Linked DNA regions of Callithrix jacchus. The protein of the gene in region 1 interacts with the protein of each later gene in a biochemical or structural test. Links are inferred from orthologs where the notes say so. Each region holds a gene or a part of one and is shown in the gene's direction. Other genes may lie near its edges.

Region 1 (6,890 bases):
TCTAAAACATGAAAACAGCTCCTGGATTTGTGGGGGGCCTGGTGGGGGAGGGGTGCCACCTGGTGACAGCCACAGGCACTTGGTGGGGAGCAGGAACAAGAATTTATTTTAGCTGCTGGGGAGGTGGTGTGATATCTTGAAGAGAGGAGGCCCCTCTGAGCCGCCTCTATCAAAGCTCCCACCCACCCCCTCTCCCAATGAGTCCCCCCACTTTGCTGGTGTGATGGGAGCTGTGAGCCCCAGGGGCACAGCCCCTCACAGAACATGCTCAGGCCGGGCTCTGTGGCTCCCACGTGTACTCCCAGCACTTTGGGAGGCCACCGTGGGAAGATCACTTGAGCCCAAGAGTCCGAGACCAGTCTGGGCAACACAGTTGGACCCTGTCTCTACAAAAAAAATAAAAAAATTAGCTGTCTGTGGTGGCATGTACCTATAGTCCCAGCTGCTTGGGAGGCTGAGGGGAAAGGATATCGAGCCTGGGAGGTCGAGGCTGCAGTGAGTTGTGATTGTGCCACTGCTCTCCAGTCTGGGTGACAGAGCACGACCCTGTCTCAATCAGTCAATCAAATGAACAAACATGCCCTGCTTCCCCGCTCATCCTCAGCCCTCCCTCTGCGCAGCCAGGTGTCACTGTCCCCATGGCATAGAAGAGCAAACAGCCAGAGGGGTCAAGGCCCAGCCTGATGAGTCCCCTCACTCTCAGCCCCTCAGCCTCACCTGCCTCCATCCTAACAAGAGAGGACCAAGGTGGAGTCAGTGCTAGGCCAGGCAGTGGCCTCTCCCGTGAGGCAGTCAGAAATGAGGGGAACAAGACCAGGCAAGGTGGCTTACGCCTGTAATCCCAGCACTTTGGGAGGCCGAGGCAGGTGGATCACTTGAGGTCAGGAGTTCGAGACCAGCCTGGCCAACATGGTGAAACCCCATCTCTACTAAAAATACAAAAATTACCCGGGCGTGGTGGAGCGGGCCTATAGTCCCAGCTACTCTAAGGCAAGAAGCTAAGGCAGGAGAATTGCTTGAACCCAGCAGGCAGAGGTTGTAGTGAGCTGAGATCACAACACTGCACTCCAGCCTGGGCAACAGAGTGACTCTCTTAAAAAAAAAAAAAAAAAAAAGAGGTAAGAACAAGCCCTGAGCCCCAGGCTGAGAGACGTCAGTCCCTGATCCAGAATGGCCACCCCGGATAGCCTTGCCTTGGCTGCAGAGAGAGAGACGCTGGCCTTGCCAGCCAGGTGGGCTGACCCCGGCTGACTCTTGGTGTGAGGTAGACAGTAATCACCATGCCCAGCATGCTGGGAAGTCAGAAGTATAACTACCCCCTCCCCATGATGGGGGTGGCTTTTGTACAGCGGCTCCTGGGTGGTGGGGTGGGGCCTGCACCTGTGGCTGAGGCCTAAGGCAGGACTCGAGACATCTGGCAACATGATTGGCCCCTCATGCCTGCTGGGCCCAGGTCTGGGGCAGAAGGAGGCAGAGTGAGGTCCAATGTCAAGATTGACAGGGAGGCCAGGTGTGGTGGCTCACACCTATAATCCCAGCGCTCTGGAAGGCTGAGGCAGGAGGATCACTTGAGGCCAGGAGTTCAAGACCAGCCTGGGCAACATAGTGAGACCCCCCTAACCACCGTCTCTACAAAAATGAAAATTAAATTTAAAAATGGTTTTACAAAAAGATGGCCAAGAGATTCTTAGGAGATCTTCTGAGCCATCCCACCTCTGGGCTGGGGTTTAGTGGCGCCCAGCCCTGGAACAGAGTGGACAGGCTTCCTTCCCGTTACAGGGCCCACTCTGGAAAGGGAGCTTGGGACCTCTGGGCTCCACCTGAATTTAAACCACTGGGGCCACTCATGGTTGTGCACACCTATAATTCCAGCTACTTGGGAGGCCAAGGTGGGAGGATCAATTAAGCCCAGGTGTTCAAGGCTGCAGTGAGCTGTGATTGCACCCCTGCACTCCATCCTGGGTGACACAGCAAGACCTCCGCTCTAAAAAGTGTGTGTGGGTGTGTGTGCGAACCACTGGCCAGGAGAGTAGAGATGCTCTTTCCAGGCAGCTGTCCCAAGGGTCTAGGGGACCCAGAGGGGCTGGCCCCAGGCTGGATTGCCTCCCCAGCTGCAGGGAGAGGGTGGTCGGATAGGCGAGGGAGGGAATCCCCGGCCCAGAGGTTGAGTCTTGGCCTTGACACCAGTGTGCCAGGGAAGGTTCCTCTCTTTCTGCCCACCCCGCAGTGGTCCTCCAGGTCTTCCTGTGGCTGAGAGTGGAGGGCACAGCCAGGCCTGTTCTTGTCCCTGCCCAGAGGCCTCCAGGGAGAGGGGGAGGGGTGGGGCTCCGGCGCTGCACCCTGGGCACCTGCGTGTGTACAGGTGGGTCCTATACACACATCCGCTCATGTGTACACAACCCCGCACAGGCCAAGGACAGCGATGATGATGACGATGTCGCTGTCACCGTGGACCGAGACCGCTTCATGGATGAGTTCTTTGAGCAGGTGGGAGCACACCCCACCCTCCCCGCACACTAGCAGACCTCGGGGGGCCTCTTACCCACCTGCACCCGGCTCAGCAGCTCTGGGGTGCCAATGAATGAACCGCTTTGAGGGTGAATAGATGGAAGCTCAGAGCAGAGCTAAATCTGGGATCGAACTCCTCCCCATCTGGGTCTGGAGGGACACACCCCCTTGGAGCCTGCCTGGCCTGTCCCTGAGCCCTGACCGCAGCCCTGCTCCGGGCCAGCCCTGGGCCCCAGAAGCCTCCTCCCCCGATTTCCTCCTCCTGATCACCCGGCCTTGGTCCGCAGGTGGAGGAGATTCGAGGCTTCATTGACAAGATCGCAGAGAACGTGGAGGAGGTGAAGCGGAAGCACAGCGCCATCCTGGCCTCCCCCAACCCTGATGAGAGTGAGTGTGGGGTCAGGGACAGGTTTCAGGTCCCACAGGTCTCCCAAAGGGGCTGCTGCCAGGAAGGCCTCATAGGACCTCAGCAGCCTTCATGGCTGGTGGGCTTAGGTGTGCCTGGGCTGGCCAGGGTCAGAAGGGTTTCATGAGAAGCTTTGGGAAATGCTGCTGTCCCCAGCCTGGAATTGGGGGATCAGTACCCAGCATCCCAGGACAGCCAGACCAGGTATCCACGAAGACTTGGGTGGTGGGAGAGGCGATCGGCTCCACCCTTCCCAGGTGAACTGGCTTTTTTCTAAGGCAACCAGGCTGGCTGCAGCCCTAGGCTTCTGGGAGTGAGGGAGGGAAGGCAGGAGCTGTCTGTGATCATTAGGCACCCTCTCAGCCCAGCCCAGCCCCTCCCCTCGACTCCCAGGGGAGCAGATGGCAGCTCTGAGGCGTCAGCGCTGTGGGAGGGCAAGCTGGCCAAGCAGGCAGAGCTTCCGGAAAGAGCTGGCAGCCCTGGCCCCTGGCCACGTGGCACCCTGGGGGTGGGCATTATCAGGGCTCCAGGAAGTCACCCCTCTCCATCCGGGCTGGGAGCCTGTGTGGGTCAGGCTTGCACTCTGCCCCCAGACAGGCCCCCCTGACCTGGCCCTCTCGTTCCTGTTGTGATATTGGTCACTCTCCTGAGAGGTGCCAGGCTGATGGCATAGGTGCAGGCCCGCCTGGGTCCCCTCCTCTGGAGGGGGGCTCACCCAGAGTCCCAGGGATGCAGCAGTCAGGTGTTTGAGGGAGGAAGTCTCCCAGGCTCAAATGTTCTCACCTCCAGCACGGCTTACCCCCAAGCCCACTTGGGCATCTTCAAGAACTTGGAGTAGGTCTTTCCACAGTGCCTGAACCGAGGTCGAGGTCACACCAATCAAGCCAGTTCCCCGCCCTCGGAAGGCAAAATAGGTCAGGTGGGAGCAGGGTGGATTGCCTCAGTAAGGCCAGGAGGGAGAGAGGGATGCCCAGGGCTCACCACGCTGCGCTCCTTGCCCGAGAGATTTGTTGGATGGCAGCATGAGCCGGATGCCTGTGCGTCTGGAGGTATCTGGGTCACCGTGTGCATGTTTCCCTGTGTGGGGCTGCTCCTGCTCAGGGTCAGGAGGTGGCTGATTGTGGGGTGGGGACAGAGGGCTCTAAACAGCAGGGGAGTGGGCCTGTCATTGCAGGTAGGTGGGGTGGGCGTGGGGCAACAGAGCTGTCTGCTCCATACCTCGGGTCCCCGCAGGCCACCTCCTGCACCGTCTCCCACCTCGGTGTCAAGCACAGTCACAGGGACTGGTTCTGAGTCACCACCTGTGAGCAGACGGTTGAGACCTGGTAGTCCCAGGCTCTCGCCAAGGGGAGGGGGCTCATGTTGGGGGTTCTAGGGCACAGGTGGCACAGACTTAGGGAGGAGTCTCAAGGAAAGATGGCAGTGAGTGGGGGGCTCTCCTGGGCAAGGCAGGCTCTGCCTCCTCGGGGCTGCCATCCGGCCTGCGCTATTTTGGGTCTGAGCAAAAGAGGCTGAGACGTCAGAGCAGCTGGTAACCGAGTTTTCCTTTGTTCCTACGGATGAGGCGCCCTCCTCCGCGCCTCGGAACCCCCTCTTCTGTGCTCCACCCCATCGCATTCCACTTGAGAGGTGACCCCATCTGAGGCCTTCCTCATAGACCTCTCTCAGCACCCCTCCCCATCCCTCTAGAACAAACCCCAGCCCCAGAGGCAGGCAGAGGGGCGGGTGGGAAGGTGACAGCCGGAGCTCAATCCCGGCTTCTCCCAGGGTGGAGTCCTGGGGGTGTCCTGAGACTGGGCTGTTGCCAGGAGCACCCCCAGGGGAGGCAGCTGTCTTGCCCCACTTTTCCAGCTAGCTCCTCTCAGGGAGGGGGCGAGCTGGGCGCCCCACGGCCTCTGCCAGCCTTAGGGAGATGGCTGTAGCTGGAACCAGGACCACACGACACTATCCACCCTCCTCCAGCTTCACCAGGGCCCCGGCTACCTGCCACGGCCAGGGCCGACTGTGCCCACCTCTTTGAACCTGAGGGCCCACATCAGCCCCCACGCAGGCCGTCCGCCCCTTGTCCGCTTCCACCTGCTGGGCACTTAGCACCCAGGGAGGCGCAGCTTTGTGGAAATAGCTGTCTGCCCCACCCAGAGTGTTTGAGCCTGCAACTCAGGAAGTGCGAGGTGGGGGAGGCTTCCTGCCACCCCTGGTCCCCTGTCAGTCCCTGGCTGGGCTGTGTGCCCTCCTGAGCCATTAGGTAACACCAGGTGAGCCCGAACCCCCCACCTTCAACTCCAACAAGCATCAAGTCCCTGTTTCTTGCGCTGACTCCAGCGTCGCCAGCTGCTCCACAATTATTTCTGCCTTAAATTTAGACCCATCTGTTATCTCCAGGGGGTGGGGGCGCCGGCGAAGGAGGAAGGGAGGCTCCTCCGAAGACAGCACAAGAGGGGGTGAGGCTGCAGCTGGTGTGGCCCTGGTCCAGAATTGGGGGGGACAGGCAGAGCCCTAGCCAGGGGAACAGGGGAGAACTGGGATCTACCGAGAGCCCCCCGTTGGGTCCCCTGTGCCAGAGGCCGAGCCTGAACATCAGTTCTTGGGGGAGCCTAGGGGGTCTACTCCCACCCTTTCTACCTCCCCAGAGACGAAGGAGGAGCTGGAAGAACTCATGTCGGACATAAAGAAGACAGCGAACAAAGTCCGATCCAAATTAAAGAGTGAGTCAGGCTTGTCTGGGGTGGGTGGGGGGTATTCTAGGCCTGCTTCCTCTGGGTAGCCCATGGGGTTTTGCTTGCCTTGAGGGGGTGTGCCGGATCTTGCTTTCCTTTCTGAGGGTGGTGTCATGTGCCCATTCACTCAACAGCTACTTGGCAAGGCCCATTGGTGCCAGGCTCTGGGCTGGGCCCAGGGACACACCCGCCCAAGGCTTTGTGGAGGGGGTACTCCACTCTGGGCGGGCACTGCCCCTCACTTATGCTAAAGAGGGTTAAAGAAGTGGCCAGCACTTCCTGGTCTCATGCAGAAGCCCGGTATGCTGGGTGAACCCAGACACGCACACCCCACGCCCTGCAGGAGGACCCCCCCTTGGCTCTCCCCACTGTGGACATGGCCCCTCCTACACAGCCAGCCTCTGAGCAGAAAGGGGGTGGTACCAAGGCACAGGGTGTCCGGAGCTAGCAGACATCATGCACATGCAGAGCCTGGGGTAGGTGTGCATTTACACAGGTGCACACACCACACCGCGTCACAGCTGGAAGTGCCTTTGTAGGCCTCTCCTCCCTCAGTGCCTGGCACTGACCCCACCAGCCACAGGCCACACACACACCCCAGGAAAGGTTAGGAGGTGGATAGATGCTGGGTGTTCGGGTCGGGGCCGAGGGTGAAGGGGGCTGGTTGTGACTCAGCAGCCCCCTACGCCCGCAGGCATCGAGCAGTCCATCGAGCAGGAGGAAGGCCTGAACCGCTCCTCCGCTGACCTGAGGATCCGGAAGACACAGGTGCGGCCCGGCAGTCTAGGGTGGGCGGGCACCTGAGTTTCTGGGTCGGTCCCTGCAGGGCCTGACACCTGTACCTCCATCTCGGGCCCCCAGCACTCCACACTATCCAGAAAGTTTGTGGAGGTCATGTCGGAGTACAACGCCACGCAGTCCGACTACCGCGAGCGCTGCAAGGGCCGCATCCAGAGGCAACTGGAGATCAGTGAGCTGGGGGCGGGGCCCAAGGCAGGGCTGAGTTAGGGACCGAAGGGGCGGGGCCGAGGCTGCTGCTGAGTTAGGGACTAGAGGGGTGGGGTCCTAGGCAGCTACTGAGTTAGGGACCGAAGGGGCGGGGCCGAGGCTGCTGCTGAATTAGGGGCTGAAGGGGCGGGGCCGAGGCTGCTGCTGAGTTAGGGGCCGAAGGGGCGGGGCCCAGTGGTGCTACTGAGCTCCCCGGAGAGGGCTGGGTTCAGTGTGACCCCGCTCGCTTGCAGCTGGCCGGACCACGACCA
Region 2 (6,927 bases), on another chromosome or scaffold:
CTAGATAACTGACCAGGTCCTTTCAACAACTCACGTGGAGGGGGTATCGAGGGAAAGAGAGGGGAAAAGGTAACTGTTCTAGATTAAAAGAGAATTCCAGAGATAAAAATCAGATGAAATCTATGGTCTTTTTAGTATCTTCCTTTTACTCAAAACGATCCAGGTTAGGCGAGGTGGCTCAAGCCTGTAATTTCAGCACTTTCGGAAGCTGAGGTGGGCGCATCACCTGAGGTCAGGAGTTCGAGACCAGCCTGGCCAACATGATGAAACAGTGTCTCTACTAAAAATACAAAAATTTGCCGGGGGTGGTGGTGGATGCCTGTAATCCCAGCTACTGGGGAGGCTAAGGCAGGAGAATTGCTTGAATCAGCGAGGCAAACATTGCAGTGAGCAGGGTTTGCCCCACTGCACTCTGTCCTGGACGACAGAGCAAGACTCGTCTCCGGGAAAAAAAAAAAGTTAACTCTAGAAACTGTAACTGTAATGCAGTTTGCTTGGGAAAAGACGTGCTTTTGGAATCGTATTAAGTGAATTTCACCACCTACTCTAGCTAGTTTAGCTTGAGCAAATTACTAGCAAAATCCCAGCGATCTCATTTGAAATGCTGCAGAAACCTACTTTCCATTACAATATCTCATTAATATTTTTATGACACACGTAAATGTAATTGGCAACTGTGTAGTAGATACTAAATAAATTCTAGTTGCATCTGAATACTGTCGTCCCTTATTTCATTCACGACCAAACTTGAGAACGGGCCTTAAAGCAAAAAAAAAAAAAATTTTTTTTTGAGATTGAGCCTCTCTCTCGCCCAGGAGGGAGTACAGTGGCGCGGTCTCGGCTCACTGCAACCTCCGCTTCCTGGGGCTCAACCGATTCTCTGCCTCAGCCTCCAGAGTCCTGGGATTACAGGCGCCCACCACCAAGCCCGGCTAATTTTTTGTATTTTTAGTACAGACGGGGTTTCACCGTCTTGGTCAGGCTGGTCTTGAACTCCTTGACCTCGTGATCCACCCGCCTAGGCCTCCCAAAGATCGCAGGCATGAGTCACCGCGCCCGGCCCTTAAAGCAAATTTTAAGGTTTCCCATGGGATTTACAACAGTACTAAACTCTTAGTAAGTACTCAAAAGTTATTTGTGGTTTGAATAGGCTGGATATAAACCATTACGGTGGATACAGCACTTGTTTGCTAAGCAAGAGAACTTCCCTGACCTAGAATGGCAGTCTCAAGTTGCTAAAAGCGAATCTCGAACTTCTCAACAAATCTTACTCTCAAAGATGATTAAACAACAAACTGAAATGGGAGGAGGGTGTAAAGCGTTTCCTCTCCATAACTATAAACCGAGATTCTGACTAAATATTAAATGAACACAGTAACCGCTCCATAATTAGTTGCCATTATTAAGATACATCACACACGGAGAGAAAGGAAAGGAGAAAAAGGAACGAAGGTTGTCAGTCGCGAGAGGTTGAAATGTGTCGCGGGACCTGAGACTACCGGCTTTAAGCACCAGGGTCTTTTGGACTCCCTGCCCAACTGAGGACCGAAGGTCAGCGGCTTCCCCTAAAGGTCAAGGCTTTGGAGCCACATTTCCTTCTGGGGCTGGGAGCAGAGCTGGAACGCCCCCACGAAAATCCGTACCCCGAAGCCAGCAGCACCGCCTGCCTGTAATCCCGCGCCGGCTCTGGGAGAGTGGACCGCTGGGTTACCCCTGCGCCGCAGCCTGCCGGAGCAGAAAGCGGGCCGCGTCTTGCAGCCACACAATCTCCCTAAGGGACAGACCACCAGGACCCTTGGGCTCCAATACGCTCAACGCAGGCCGGCCCATCGATACTCACATTCACAGCCAACCCCTCTTACTCCATCAGGCCGCCGAGAGACAGGCGAGGGAGCTCCCTGACGCCCCAGACTCCCCCCTTCAGTTTTGGGTCCGGGAGCCTGCTCCGGACCCGCTCCCCGCCGGGCCCTGCCACAGCCGCCGCCAGCGCGCAGGCGCACAGCGAGGCCGTCACGCTCTTTTTTTTCCTTTGCCTGCAGCCGTTCTCAATAATCTAGCTTTATTTGAACACAAGAGAGTGAACAACGGACACACAGGAAGAGGTTTTTCTCAAAAAGAATGGAGGAAGAACAAAGGCAGGTCAGCTTGCGGGAGAGTCGGTCCGCAGCATTGGACGCTATGAACAGTCTCCCTGGTCCCTTTTTCATTTTCTTTATTTCTCCTTGTTCTTTCCCGGCCTCCCTCTAGCTCCTTCCTTGGTGTCCCGCCATTTCCTTTAGTCAGTGGCAACTGTTCAGGCTAAAATTTGAAATAACTCCTTCCTTGTAAAATTTACTAAAATTTAATGGGAGGTGCAAGAGCTTTTAGGACAGACCTGCCCGAGTTTCAGATCTCGGACTAGCTACTAATAATTTACGACTTTGGGTAAATTAAAATTTTTCTTGGAACCTCAAGATCTTGAGTTAAAATTAGGATAATGTTGGGCCAGTCACGGTGGCTCATGCCTGTAATCTCAACACTTTGGGAGGCCGAGGTGGGTGGGTCAGGAGATGGAGACCATCTTGGCCAACATGGTGAAACCCCTTCTCTACTTAAAAAAAAAAAAAAAAAAATAGCCTGGTATGGTAGCGGGCGCCTGTAGTCCCAGCTACTCAGGAGGCTGAGGCAGAAGAATCGCTTGAACCCGGGAGGCAGAGGTTGCAGTGAGCCGAAATGACGTCACTGCACTCTAGCCTGGCAACAGATCATGACTCGGTCTCAAAAAAAAAAAAACAAACAAAAAACCCTAAAATTAAGACAATGTTATCTCACAGGGTGTTGCTAAAATTAAATAACATAGGTCAAGTGTTTTATCCATGAATGCTGCCTATCACAGAGCAGACATTCCATTATAACTGGTTTTATTCTTACTCATGCCTAAGGTATTTATAATTTTTTTTTTTTTAGGTAGAAACGGGTTTCACCATCTTGCCCAGGCTAGTCTCAAACTCCTGGGCTCAAGTGAACAGCCTTCCAAAGTGCTGGATTACAGGTGTCACCCACTGCGCCCAGCCTACATTTATTATTATTACTGAGACGAAGTCTCACTCTGTCATCCAGGCTGGAGTGCAGTGGCACTATCTTGGTTCTCTGCAACCTCTGCCTTCCGGGTTCAAGCAGTTCTCCTGCCTCAGCCTCTCAAGTAGCTGGAATTACAGACATACACCACCATGTCCAGATAATTTTTGTATTTTTAGTAGAGATGGGGTTTCGCCATGTTGGCCAGGCTGGTCTCAAATTCCTGACCTCAAGTGATCTGCCCGCCCCGGCCTCCCAAAGTCCTGGGATTACAGATGTGAGCCACTGTGCCCAGCCGCCTATATTTATTATTAAACTTAGCTCATACCCATTCCCTCAGAGCCGTAATTTTAGTGACTGAGACTAATCAGATAAAGGAAATGACATTAAGGTTGATCATTATGTGAAGTGTTCCTCTTATATTATTGAGATTATAACATCTCTGTTTAACCAGACCGTCAATGCCTCAAATAAAAGTGAGCAGTTACATTCATCTCTATGTATATCCAGATTTGCTTCTAGAGGTTCAGGAAACTTCCAGTTCTGTGTTTGTGACATCACAAGTCCTTGAAACACTCAAGGGCTATGGTATGCTGCTCATTTTACTCTCCTTCAAAGGCATGCAATGGAAGAACTATTTTGCCCTGTAAACTCTGGCCCATCGTTCAAGGAAAAGCCTTTAGAAGACCACAGTCAGATATTGGTGATTATTAAGGTAAGCTACTTTAGTGTTTGTCAACTTTGGGATTACTGACATTTTTGGAACATATACTTTTTTGTTGTCAAGGGTATTATGTGCATTATAAGATGTTTAGCAGCAGATCGGGAGCACTAGCTCACATATGTAATCCTAGAACTTTGGGAGGTCAAGGCAGACAGATCGCTTGAGTCCAGGAGTTTGAGACCAGCATAAGTGACATGGTGAAACCTCATCTCTACAAAAAATATGAAAGTTAGCCGGGTGTGGTAGTACACACCTGTACTCCCAGCTACTTGGGAGGCTGAGGTGGGAGGATCTGAGCTGCAGAGGTAGAGGTTGCAGTGAGCCAACATCACACCACTGCCCTCCAGTCTGAGCAAGACCCTGTCTCTCTTTCTCTCTCTGTCTGTCTCTCTCTCTCTCTCTCTCTCTCTCTCTGTGTGTGTGTGTGTGTATGTGTGTGTGTGTGTGTATGTTTAGCAGCATCACTGGACAAGATGCCAGTAGTATCCACCCCCCATTTCCCTGTTATCACAGACATTGCTAAATATCCTCTGGAGGACAAAAGTGTCCCTGGTTGAGAACCATGGAATTATTATCAATGACCATCCCAACCCTAAATGAACTCAACTGTGCATTTTCTCCACCTCTGCCCTTGAAAAGTGACTACTGCTTGAGAAAGCTACACAGGAAGGGAGAAAATGGTGAGTTCATTTTTGCCCATATTAAAAAGGCCCTCAGTACTGCTTACCAGTCCTACAATGTTTTTCTATCCATTTCTTGTATTACTTTCTACAATATTCCAAATCTTCTCAACTTTCCTTTAAACTCCCAATACTATCTCCTTTTCTGTCAGATGATCCTATCTCCAACCTCACAGAGAAAACAGGTCATCAAATGAGAACTTTAACTTCCTTTTACTAAACATACAAACAGACACATTCTTCCTCTCATAATTGGGGAAGGAAGTATCTTCACTCTCTCTCTTTCTCCCTCCCTCACTTCTTCCAAAACCACTCCTCTCACCAGTGCTTTGAACTGCCTCGAAACTGCTGCTATTCTTACCCTTTCAAGAACTTTCCCTACTGACTATCCCTTCTCTTCCTTTATTCGAACATTATTTCTCAGTTGAATCTTCCCTACAGTGCTCAAATTTCTCCTGTCTTAATTTTAACAAAAACCCAAAAAAACACCTGGGCTCGGTGGCTCACGCCTTTAATCCCAGCACTTTGGGAGGTGGGCAGATCACGAGATCAAGAGATCAAGACCATCCTGGCCAACATGGTGAAACCCCATCTCTACTAGAAATACAAAAATTAGCTGGGCATGGTGGCGTGTGCCTGTAGTCCCAACTACTTGGGAGGCTGAGGCAGGAGAAGTGCTTGAACGCAGGAGGCGGAGGTTGCAGTGAGCCGAGATCCCGCCACTGCACTCCAGCCTGGCACCTGTCGACAGAGCAAGACTCTGTCTCAAAAAAAAAAAAAAAAAAAAAATTAGGCCGGGCGCGGTGGCTCAAGCCTGTAATCCCAGCACTTTGGGAGGCCGAGGTGGGTGAATCACGAGGTCAAGAGATCGAGACCATCATGGTCAACATGGTGAAACCCCGTCTCTACTAAAAATACAAAAAATTAGCTGGGCACGGTGGCGCGTGCCTGTAATTCCAGCTACTCAGGAGGCTGAGGCAGGAGAATTGCCTGAACCCAGGAGGCGAGAGGTTGCGGTGAGCCGAGATCGCGCCATTGCACTCCAGCCTGGGTAACAAGAGCGAAACTCCGTCTCAAAAAAAAAAAAAATCCAATAAACAAAAACAAAAAATCTTGATCCTTCATCATCCTCCCTCCTTCCTCCCTGTCAAGGCCAACCTTTCCAAAAGCATTCTACAACCTGTCCCTATCTCTACATCTCCCCCATCTCCAAACTATTGTTTCTTTCAACCCCAGCATTTCACCAAACAGCTTTCACTGAGATAATCAGTGACCACTGTGTTACTAAATTTAAACATTTCTCAGGCTTCGTCCTCCTTGATACCTTAGGAATAGACTACTTCCTTTTGAAGCACTTTCTTTTCTTGATTTCCAGCACTTTGTTTTATTCTTAGAGGTGCGTGGAAAGGTTCCTGCAGCAAATGGTTTACAATAATCACCCATCTGCTTAAAACCCTTCAATAGCTTTCAGTGCGCATAGTACAAATTAGTCCAAAATTCCAAGACCTTCCAAAATCTAGCCATTGTTGACCTTTTAAAGCTTTCTTCCTCTACACTCGGGGATGTACGATTAGCACTAAGCCTTTAGCGAGGATACACTGCTAGAAATTTCCAAAATGCGTTATGTTGTTCTTGACACAAGTTGTTCCCCAGAACCTGGGAAACTCTAGCTCCTTCTCTGCCGGATTTCCGGGGTAACTCCTACTTATCCTTCATGACTCAAGTCACTTCCTCCGGGAACACTTCCAGAGACCCCTAAGAATGAAACGCTTTGTTTATTATCAGCCAAAGACGCCTCGGATTTTCAATGTACTATGCACTGTATTCCATCCACTATAATTTGTTTACATATCTATATCTTAGTCTAGACAGATTGAAAGGCGCTGAAGGGCAGAGAAAGCTTTCTGTTCGCTTTCTTTTCCTTAGCGTTCATCTGGCACAGTGCCTGGTACACGGTTTGCCCTCAGTAAATGTTTATTGAATGAACACCTCCCAGACTCGGGCAGGACTGAAATCTATCCGGTTAACTGATGAATTCCCAGGCTCTCCGCCAGCGTGGCAGGGAGATTTAAACCCCCAGCACCGTGATTGGCTCCAGCTGCAGGGGTGTGTTCGCGTCCGCGGCGCACGGGAAGTGCGCAGGCGCGCGGCCTGGGCGCGCGCAGGCGCTACTAGGGCACTGCGCCAGGTCTGGTGTTGGGGTGTCGCAGCTACAGCGGCCGGAGAGGAGTGGCTTCACCCGCTTGGTGAGTCTCCAAGAGTGGGATGGAGGGAGCTGACCGGTATGAAGTCTGAGAGTATATGGTATTGGTTGAAAAGTTGGTTGGGTCAGGCTTAAGCGGACGAGGGGGCGCCCTGGCCCTTACTCGGCAGATGGGCCCGAAGCTAGGAGGGGAGGCGCCGGGAGAACCTCGAGGAGGTGGAGGAAGGGTGGCTGGATGGTGGTTCCCTGGACCCTTCCTCGAA
Region 3 (6,570 bases), on another chromosome or scaffold:
CCATGGAAGGTTTTAAGTAGGGGAGAGACGTGACCGATTTACCTGTAAACAGACGGCCCTGGTGACCAACTTCTCTTTCTGTCCTCCAGCCGTACCAGAAATTGGCATTTCCCTCTACCACCTGAACATTTCCTTCCCAATCCCCAGACTGCCAATATCCATGTACTCTCATGCTCACAAAGCCCTCAGTGCTTCATCTAATCTATCCTGAAGCATTCTTGCTGCAATGCAGCCTAATACCAACCCCATCAGCCTGCAGAGCCCATGTCGTCTGTGAACTGGCTGCCATCCACTGATGGGCACTGGGGGAAGTGCACCTGTTCTTACCTCTTTTTCTCTTGCAGGGAGGCATTTATGTCTTCAAACTCTTTGATTACTACTCTGCCAGTGGCATGAGCCTGCTGTTTCTCGTGTTCTTTGAATGTGTCTCTATTTCCTGGTTTTACGGTGAGTATCAGCCCCTCCTCCCTTATTTATTCACTCATTCATCCATTCATTCCTTTCTTCAGTCCTCATTCAACAAGTGCAATTTGAACACCAGGTATTTTCCCTACATTTATGTATTTATTTATTCTTCACATTACAATTCAGTAAGGTTAGTCCAGGAGGTTCCCATGTCTAGAAGATATAAGAGCCGTTAAATGAATTCATTTAAAATAGGTGCCAACATTTCTTTATAAATTTTGGAATAAAAAGGGTTTTGGAGATTTTATTCAGAAAACAGAAACCAAAACCATTTTTTAAAGTTTTAAAGTTATAGATTTAAAAAGCTAGGCAGTAATGAAAAGTGTGCACTACCTTAAAACAAATCACAAGAGAAACATTGATTTTGTTTGTTTTGTGGCCTAAGTTTCCTGAGCCAACTGCATGATAGTAAAAAGTGACAACATCCTTTCCTGCATATTTGATTGTCACAGCAGAGCAAATGTTTTGAAAGAAACATAATATTCTGTATCACCTCTTTGCAATATCTGCCACCTCTTCTGCCTTGTCATTGTCCCTTCTCTTTTTTTATATATGTATAAATTTAAAGGATCTGAGTGCAATTTTGTTACATGGATATCTTGTGTAGTGGCAAAATCTGGGCTTTAAGTGTACCCATCATCCACATAATGTGCATTCTACCCACTAAGTAATTTCTCACCATCTACCTCAGCTCCCACTCTCCCACCGTTCTGAGTCACCAGTGTCTATTATTCTACTCTATATCCACCTGTCCCCAGTGTTTAGCTCCCACTTTTAAGTGAGAACATGCAGTATTTGACTTTCTGTTTCTGAGTTGTTTTGCTTTAGATGATGGCTTTTGCAAAAGGCATGACTTCATTCTATTTTATGGCTGAATAGCATTCCACTGTGTATGTATACCATATTCTCTTTATCCAGCCATCCACTGATGGACACTTAGGTTGATTCCATATCTTTGCTATTGTGAATAAACACATGAGTACAGATACCTTTTTGATGTAATAATTTCTTTTTCTCTGGGTAGATACCCAGTAGTGGGATTGCTGGATCAAATGGTGGTTCTATTTCTGGTTCTTTGAGAAATCTCTGTACTGATTTCCATAGAAGTTGTACTAATTTACACTCCCAGTACCACCTTTTCTCTCTAACTGTTCTAACATGGTCAGATCCTCACTGGTCAGTGACTCTGCTTGTAATTGGAGCAGTGCCCAGCCACTCTGGTGAACTTCTAGATACCCTGTGGGTTTAGGGTTTTTCTTTTTTGTGAGATTTGCAGTTCTTCTTTGCAGCTGATTACCAGTTTCTTATAGCAGCTGTATATCAGGGAAAAACAGCCCCTGCCCAGGAAAGCCTTTGAAGGAATGGCTGGGATAGATGTAGAGTGGGAGGGACATTGAGAGTGGCAGGGGTGCAGGGGATTATCTTGTCAATATCCTTTTGTTGGTAGATATCGTCACATTAAAGTTACTTGCTTACCTACACACTTGCTATGAGAACTGGGCTATTGAAAAGTACTTAGTAACAAGGACCCCCTGAGCATTAACCCCATGGCACAGACAAGGAAACCGAGGCTCAGAGAAGTTAGGGTTCTTGCCCATGGTCATGCTATGAGAAAGTGGTAGCACCAGGCTTTGACCCTAAAGTACTCACAGCTCATCCATCTCTCCTGCTCCCAATGTCACAGGTGTCAACCGATTCTATGACAATATCCAAGAGATGGTTGGCTCCAGGCCCTGCATCTGGTGGAAGCTCTGCTGGTCTTTCTTCACCCCAATCATTGTGGCGGTAAGAGGAAGACCTGATTAGCCCTGTTAGGATGAGGCTAGACCAGGCCCTGGGGGAAATCAGGTCCAAAGGCAGGTGGAAGAGGTCCCAGAAACCCTGTTACTTAATAATACTTCCTTTGCCATCTGTTGGGCATCTGTCCTTCACTCTGTGTGGTACAAGACACATATATCACCCTCACAAACCTCAGAAAAGAGGCATTATTGTGCCACTTTACTGCTGCAGGATCTGGGGATCACCTAGCCAGCGTCACCCAGCTAATCAGTTCTGGGATTCGAATCAAGCTGGCCTGATTCTGAAGCTCAAGCTCTTGGCACTTGCAGACCCCTTCTTCACAGGGTCCCTCATTCCCACAAGCAGGAGCTGAAGCAGGGGCAGGCCAGGGAGGAGCCATTCGAGGTCCTTGAGGTGGGGGCAGAGCCACTACATATGTTGTGTCCCACATAAGGGGACCCTGCCAGTGGCACACCAGGAGCTGATACCTCACCCTTGCTCTGCTTTCGAAGCTGGGGAACTTGGAGGAAAGGGTTCCCTTTTCTAATTAGTCTCCTTGGAGGGGTAGCCTTTTCGTACTGATCTTCCCTGAGAGGGTGTCTTTTTCTATTATGTACAAAAGCACCTTATGTGCTAGCAGTGCATAAGGTGCTGGGTCAGCCTCCAGGCAAGGGTAGAGGGCAGTCGGCCTGCTGGCTTCAGGGTGGTCCATTCTGTGACTGACTCCTCCCCGTCCATGCCCTCCCCTCCACCCTCTCCAGGGTGTGTTCATTTTCAGTGCTGTGCAGATGACGCCTCTCACCATGGGAAGCTACGTTTTCCCCAAGTGGGGCCAAGGTGTGGGCTGGCTCATGGCTCTGTCTTCCATGGTCCTCATCCCCGGGTACATGGCCTACATGTTCCTCACCTTAAAGGGCTCTCTGAAGCAGGTAAGCCCTTTCCCACCTTCCAAATTGCCAGTGCCCTTCCCCCACTGTGCCAGGAACAGCCCCACCCCTTATGAAGCTCACAGTCTAGCTGGGGAGACAGACAAACCAACAGCCAAAGACAATAGAGTATTAAAGGCAGGGGGGTGGGAGCAAATAGCCCTGCCTCAGCCCTACCTGGTTTAAGGAGGATTGAAGAAGGATTTCCAGAACAGGGGATAACAAAGGAGAGGCCTAAGGATAAACCAGACTTAAAAGTAGAAGCAGAAAGAAGATTACCAGAAGAGGGAGGGGAGGAGAGGTTGGGAAGCATGTGCAAAGGTCCGGGGGTATAAACCGTATCGGGTGAACTGAAGGGAGATCAGTGTGGCTGGAGGGTAAAGAGGAAAGAGGTGTGAGGAGGGGGCATGACAAGAGATGAAGCTGGGATGTAAGAAGGTATGCCAGATCGTGAAGGCCTTTGAAAACCAGTACAAGAACTTTGGCCTTTATCCTGGTGGCAATGGGGCATCATGAAGGGCTTGGAACAGATGGAGGGTGGGATCACATTTGCCCAGGGCTCACTCTAGATCTCATTTGTAGGGTTAATATAGAGAAAATGTGATCTTACCCACAAGGAATGACAGAGCACAAAAGACCTGCTGCCCCCAGCAAGGGCCTCACCATCATATAGGGTTCTCTGTCCATGCCTGCACTTTGTTAAACTGTACTCAGTTCTTGAGGGAGTAAGGGAGTGCTGGAGGCACCAAGCAGAGACATTGATGAGGTGTGTGCAGGCTGAGAAGATGCCACTGGGAAGAGTGGAGAGTCAGAGCATGAAGGGCCCTGGACAAGTAGCTCTCCGCTGTAGTTCCCTGGGAGATGCACCTGCCAGGCCCAGGGGAAGCACTCTCAGGTCCAAGGCACAGGGAAGCCGGGCTGTAGGTTACGTGCAGCCCCAGAGTTACTGGGCCATCCTCCTCTAACCTCAGATGGAGAAACTGAGGAACCGCAGGGGTTGGGTGAGCAGGTTCCCAGCTCAGGAAGCTATGACCAGAGCCAGGGCTTGTAGCCCTTTCTTCCCACTGTGGGTCCAAAGCTTTCATTTTCCATGATCCACTGGAGAACCCCAAACAGCAGCCGGGGCTTGGCATGACGAGAGGTCGAGGGGGTGCCCTTGCAGAAAAGACCACAGCTTGTGCAAAGGCCCATTGGTAGGAAGAGCCAGGGCGTACCTGAGGCCAGGGTGTGAGCTGATGGGGCAGGATGGCAAAGGCAGTGGGGGATCTATCCATCTTGCACATGTGGATGAAACCCTGATGATGTGCCAGGCAAGACTGTCCATGCTGCGGACACAGCCGTGAACAAGATAAGCAGAAATCACACCCTCCTAGAACTCCCATGCTGGTAGAGGAAGACAAGCAAAAAAAACATGTGGGGTGGGAAGAACACTATAGAGAAAAATCAAGTAGGTGGGGGTTTAGGGAGTGCCAGGTGACGCCTCACTGAGAAGGCAAAACATTTGAGCCAAGACTTGGGAGGCGGAGAGCGAGCTGTCACTATCTGAGAGAAAGACTGTGCCGGACAGAGGGTGCAGCCTGTGCAAAGGCCCTGGTTGTGAGCGTGCCTGTTGTGTTTGCGGGGCATTGAGGAGTCCCATGTGGATGGGATGGATACACGAGGGAGAAGGGAGGACACTGAGGACTGGGAGGTGGCAGGGGCCAGGTCATGTAAGGCCTTGGAGGACTTTGGCTCTGCTTCTCAGTGAAATGGGAGCCTCTGTTGGGTCCTGAGTAGTAGAGGGACGTGATCTGAGTCTGGTTTTCACAGAACTCTCCTGCTGCTATGTTGAGGACAAAATGAAGGGGTGAGAGGACAGAATGAAGGCGGGAGTGGAAGCTGAGGGCTGGGAGTTGTTGCAATAACCCAAGTGAGAAGGGCTGTGGCATGACCCATGTGGGGCAGGATGCGGGGCTGTGCTGGAGTCTGGGTGTAGCTTGGAGGCAGAGCAGACAGGATGGGCTTGAAGAGAGGGCAGGAAAAGGACACAGCCTGTCCTGTCCACCCCAGCCTGGGGTTTTCTCCAGAGAGCCTCACGCCTTCCTCCCTGGTGCCCACAGCGCATCCAAGTCATGGTCCAGCCCAGCGAAGACATCGTTCGCCCGGAGAATGGTCCCGAGCAGCCTCAGGCCGGCAGCTCCACCAGCAAGGAGGCCTACATCTAGGGTGGGGGCCGCTCGCCGACCCAACACTCTCACCCCCCGACCTGGCTGAGCACGACCACCACTTGATGTCTGAGGATACCTTCTATCTCAACCTACCTCGAGTGGCGAGTCCAGACACCATCACCACGCAGAGAGGGGAGGTGGGAGGACAGTTAGACCTCTGGGTGGGCCCTGCCGTGGGCAAGGATACCCAGTGGCTTCTGGTACCCGGTGGACTGGTGACCTTTTTAATCTAGGCCCCATCAGCATCCCACAATCGGCCTTGGTAACCGCCGCGGTAGATCATTTTTATCCCGCCAGGGAGCGTGATGCAGCGAGGCCACACGTGCTCCTGGCTTTTAGACCTGTTCCTGACTGTTCTCTCACTGCCGAAACCCATGACTGTTATCTCGGATTTTGCAGGAGTTCCTTTCCCTCGGAACGCTGCTCCATGCACAGGAAAAGGGCATTTTGTACAATGGAGACTTCCCAGGAACGCTTGCTCTTAAGTAGCAGGAGCCAGTGGAGCTCTGGCTTTCGTGTTTTTGGTTTTCTCCTTTCCAAGGCAGCTGGACAAAAAAAAAAAAAAAACCCAGGGGCCTCAGTCGATATTCCCAGGGCCGCTTCTCCCGCAATCTGCAGCGTGTCCTTGTCCCCGCTGCCCGAATGAATGAGCATTCTGCAGCCCAATGTCCCTGTCCCCTCCCCGCCGGGCCATTCTGATTGGACCTGGCCCAGTGCAATCCATCCAGACAAGCCCTGCTTGCTGGAAAACTGCCACAAGCACAACTGATCTATTTTTATCGCCATTCCAGGGGCCTCAGGTCCTACTGGGGAAACTTCCCATACCTGAGCTCCAGTTTCTCTTAAGCTGCCCGATTTCACAGAATACAAAATAGTTGCAGGAGAAATCAAGGTGAAGGATCTGTCCGACACTCAAGACGGATCCAGTAATCTTTCGGTCTCCTTCTTAAACTACCACCCTCACTGCCACCCGCCCCAAGCTGCTGCCGCCTCACCTTCCTTGAAATTCCTCAGCAGGAGTCTCCTCACTGCCACTGAAACCCACCCGGCCCACTAACCGAGGAGCTAGCGTTAATCCAGAGAACCCCCCGCAATGTGCTTCCGAGATTCAAACTGCTTCATTGGGAAGTATGATTTGTTCCTTTCTGGAATCGGGCTCCGTGGTGGCAGCAGCACTTCAAGTGAAGACAGTT

The links.
Region 2: the proteins of STX1A (region 1) and SNAP23 form a complex in vitro, tested with the Homo sapiens proteins (3 studies listed by BioGRID). The link is inferred for Callithrix jacchus from reciprocal best matches to the Homo sapiens genes STX1A and SNAP23.
Region 3: the proteins of STX1A (region 1) and SLC6A1 form a complex in vitro, tested with the Homo sapiens proteins (2 studies listed by BioGRID). The link is inferred for Callithrix jacchus from reciprocal best matches to the Homo sapiens genes STX1A and SLC6A1.

The regions. Positions count from the first base shown.
Region 1 is NC_133503.1:9,982,623-9,989,512, forward strand, and holds part of STX1A (syntaxin-1A), read left to right. Parts: intron 1-2,409; coding exon 2,410-2,487; intron 2,488-2,795; coding exon 2,796-2,895; intron 2,896-5,544; coding exon 5,545-5,619; intron 5,620-6,325; coding exon 6,326-6,399; intron 6,400-6,492; coding exon 6,493-6,601; intron 6,602-6,872; coding exon 6,873-6,890. UniProt on the Homo sapiens protein: Plays an essential role in hormone and neurotransmitter calcium-dependent exocytosis and endocytosis.
Region 2 is NC_133509.1:30,175,530-30,182,456, forward strand, and holds the start of SNAP23 (synaptosomal-associated protein 23), read left to right. Parts: upstream 1-2,055; 5' UTR 2,056-2,139; intron 2,140-3,567; exon of another isoform or gene 3,568-3,675; 5' UTR 3,676-3,772; intron 3,773-4,294; exon of another isoform or gene 4,295-4,420; 5' UTR 4,421-4,461; intron 4,462-6,628; exon of another isoform or gene 6,629-6,707; intron 6,708-6,927. UniProt on the Homo sapiens protein: Essential component of the high affinity receptor for the general membrane fusion machinery and an important regulator of transport vesicle docking and fusion.
Region 3 is NC_133516.1:68,199,126-68,205,695, forward strand, and holds part of SLC6A1 (sodium- and chloride-dependent GABA transporter 1), read left to right. Parts: intron 1-344; coding exon 345-447; intron 448-2,149; coding exon 2,150-2,250; intron 2,251-3,005; coding exon 3,006-3,173; intron 3,174-5,269; coding exon 5,270-5,374; 3' UTR 5,375-6,570. UniProt on the Homo sapiens protein: Mediates transport of gamma-aminobutyric acid (GABA) together with sodium and chloride and is responsible for the reuptake of GABA from the synapse. The translocation of GABA, however, may also occur in the reverse direction leading to the release of GABA.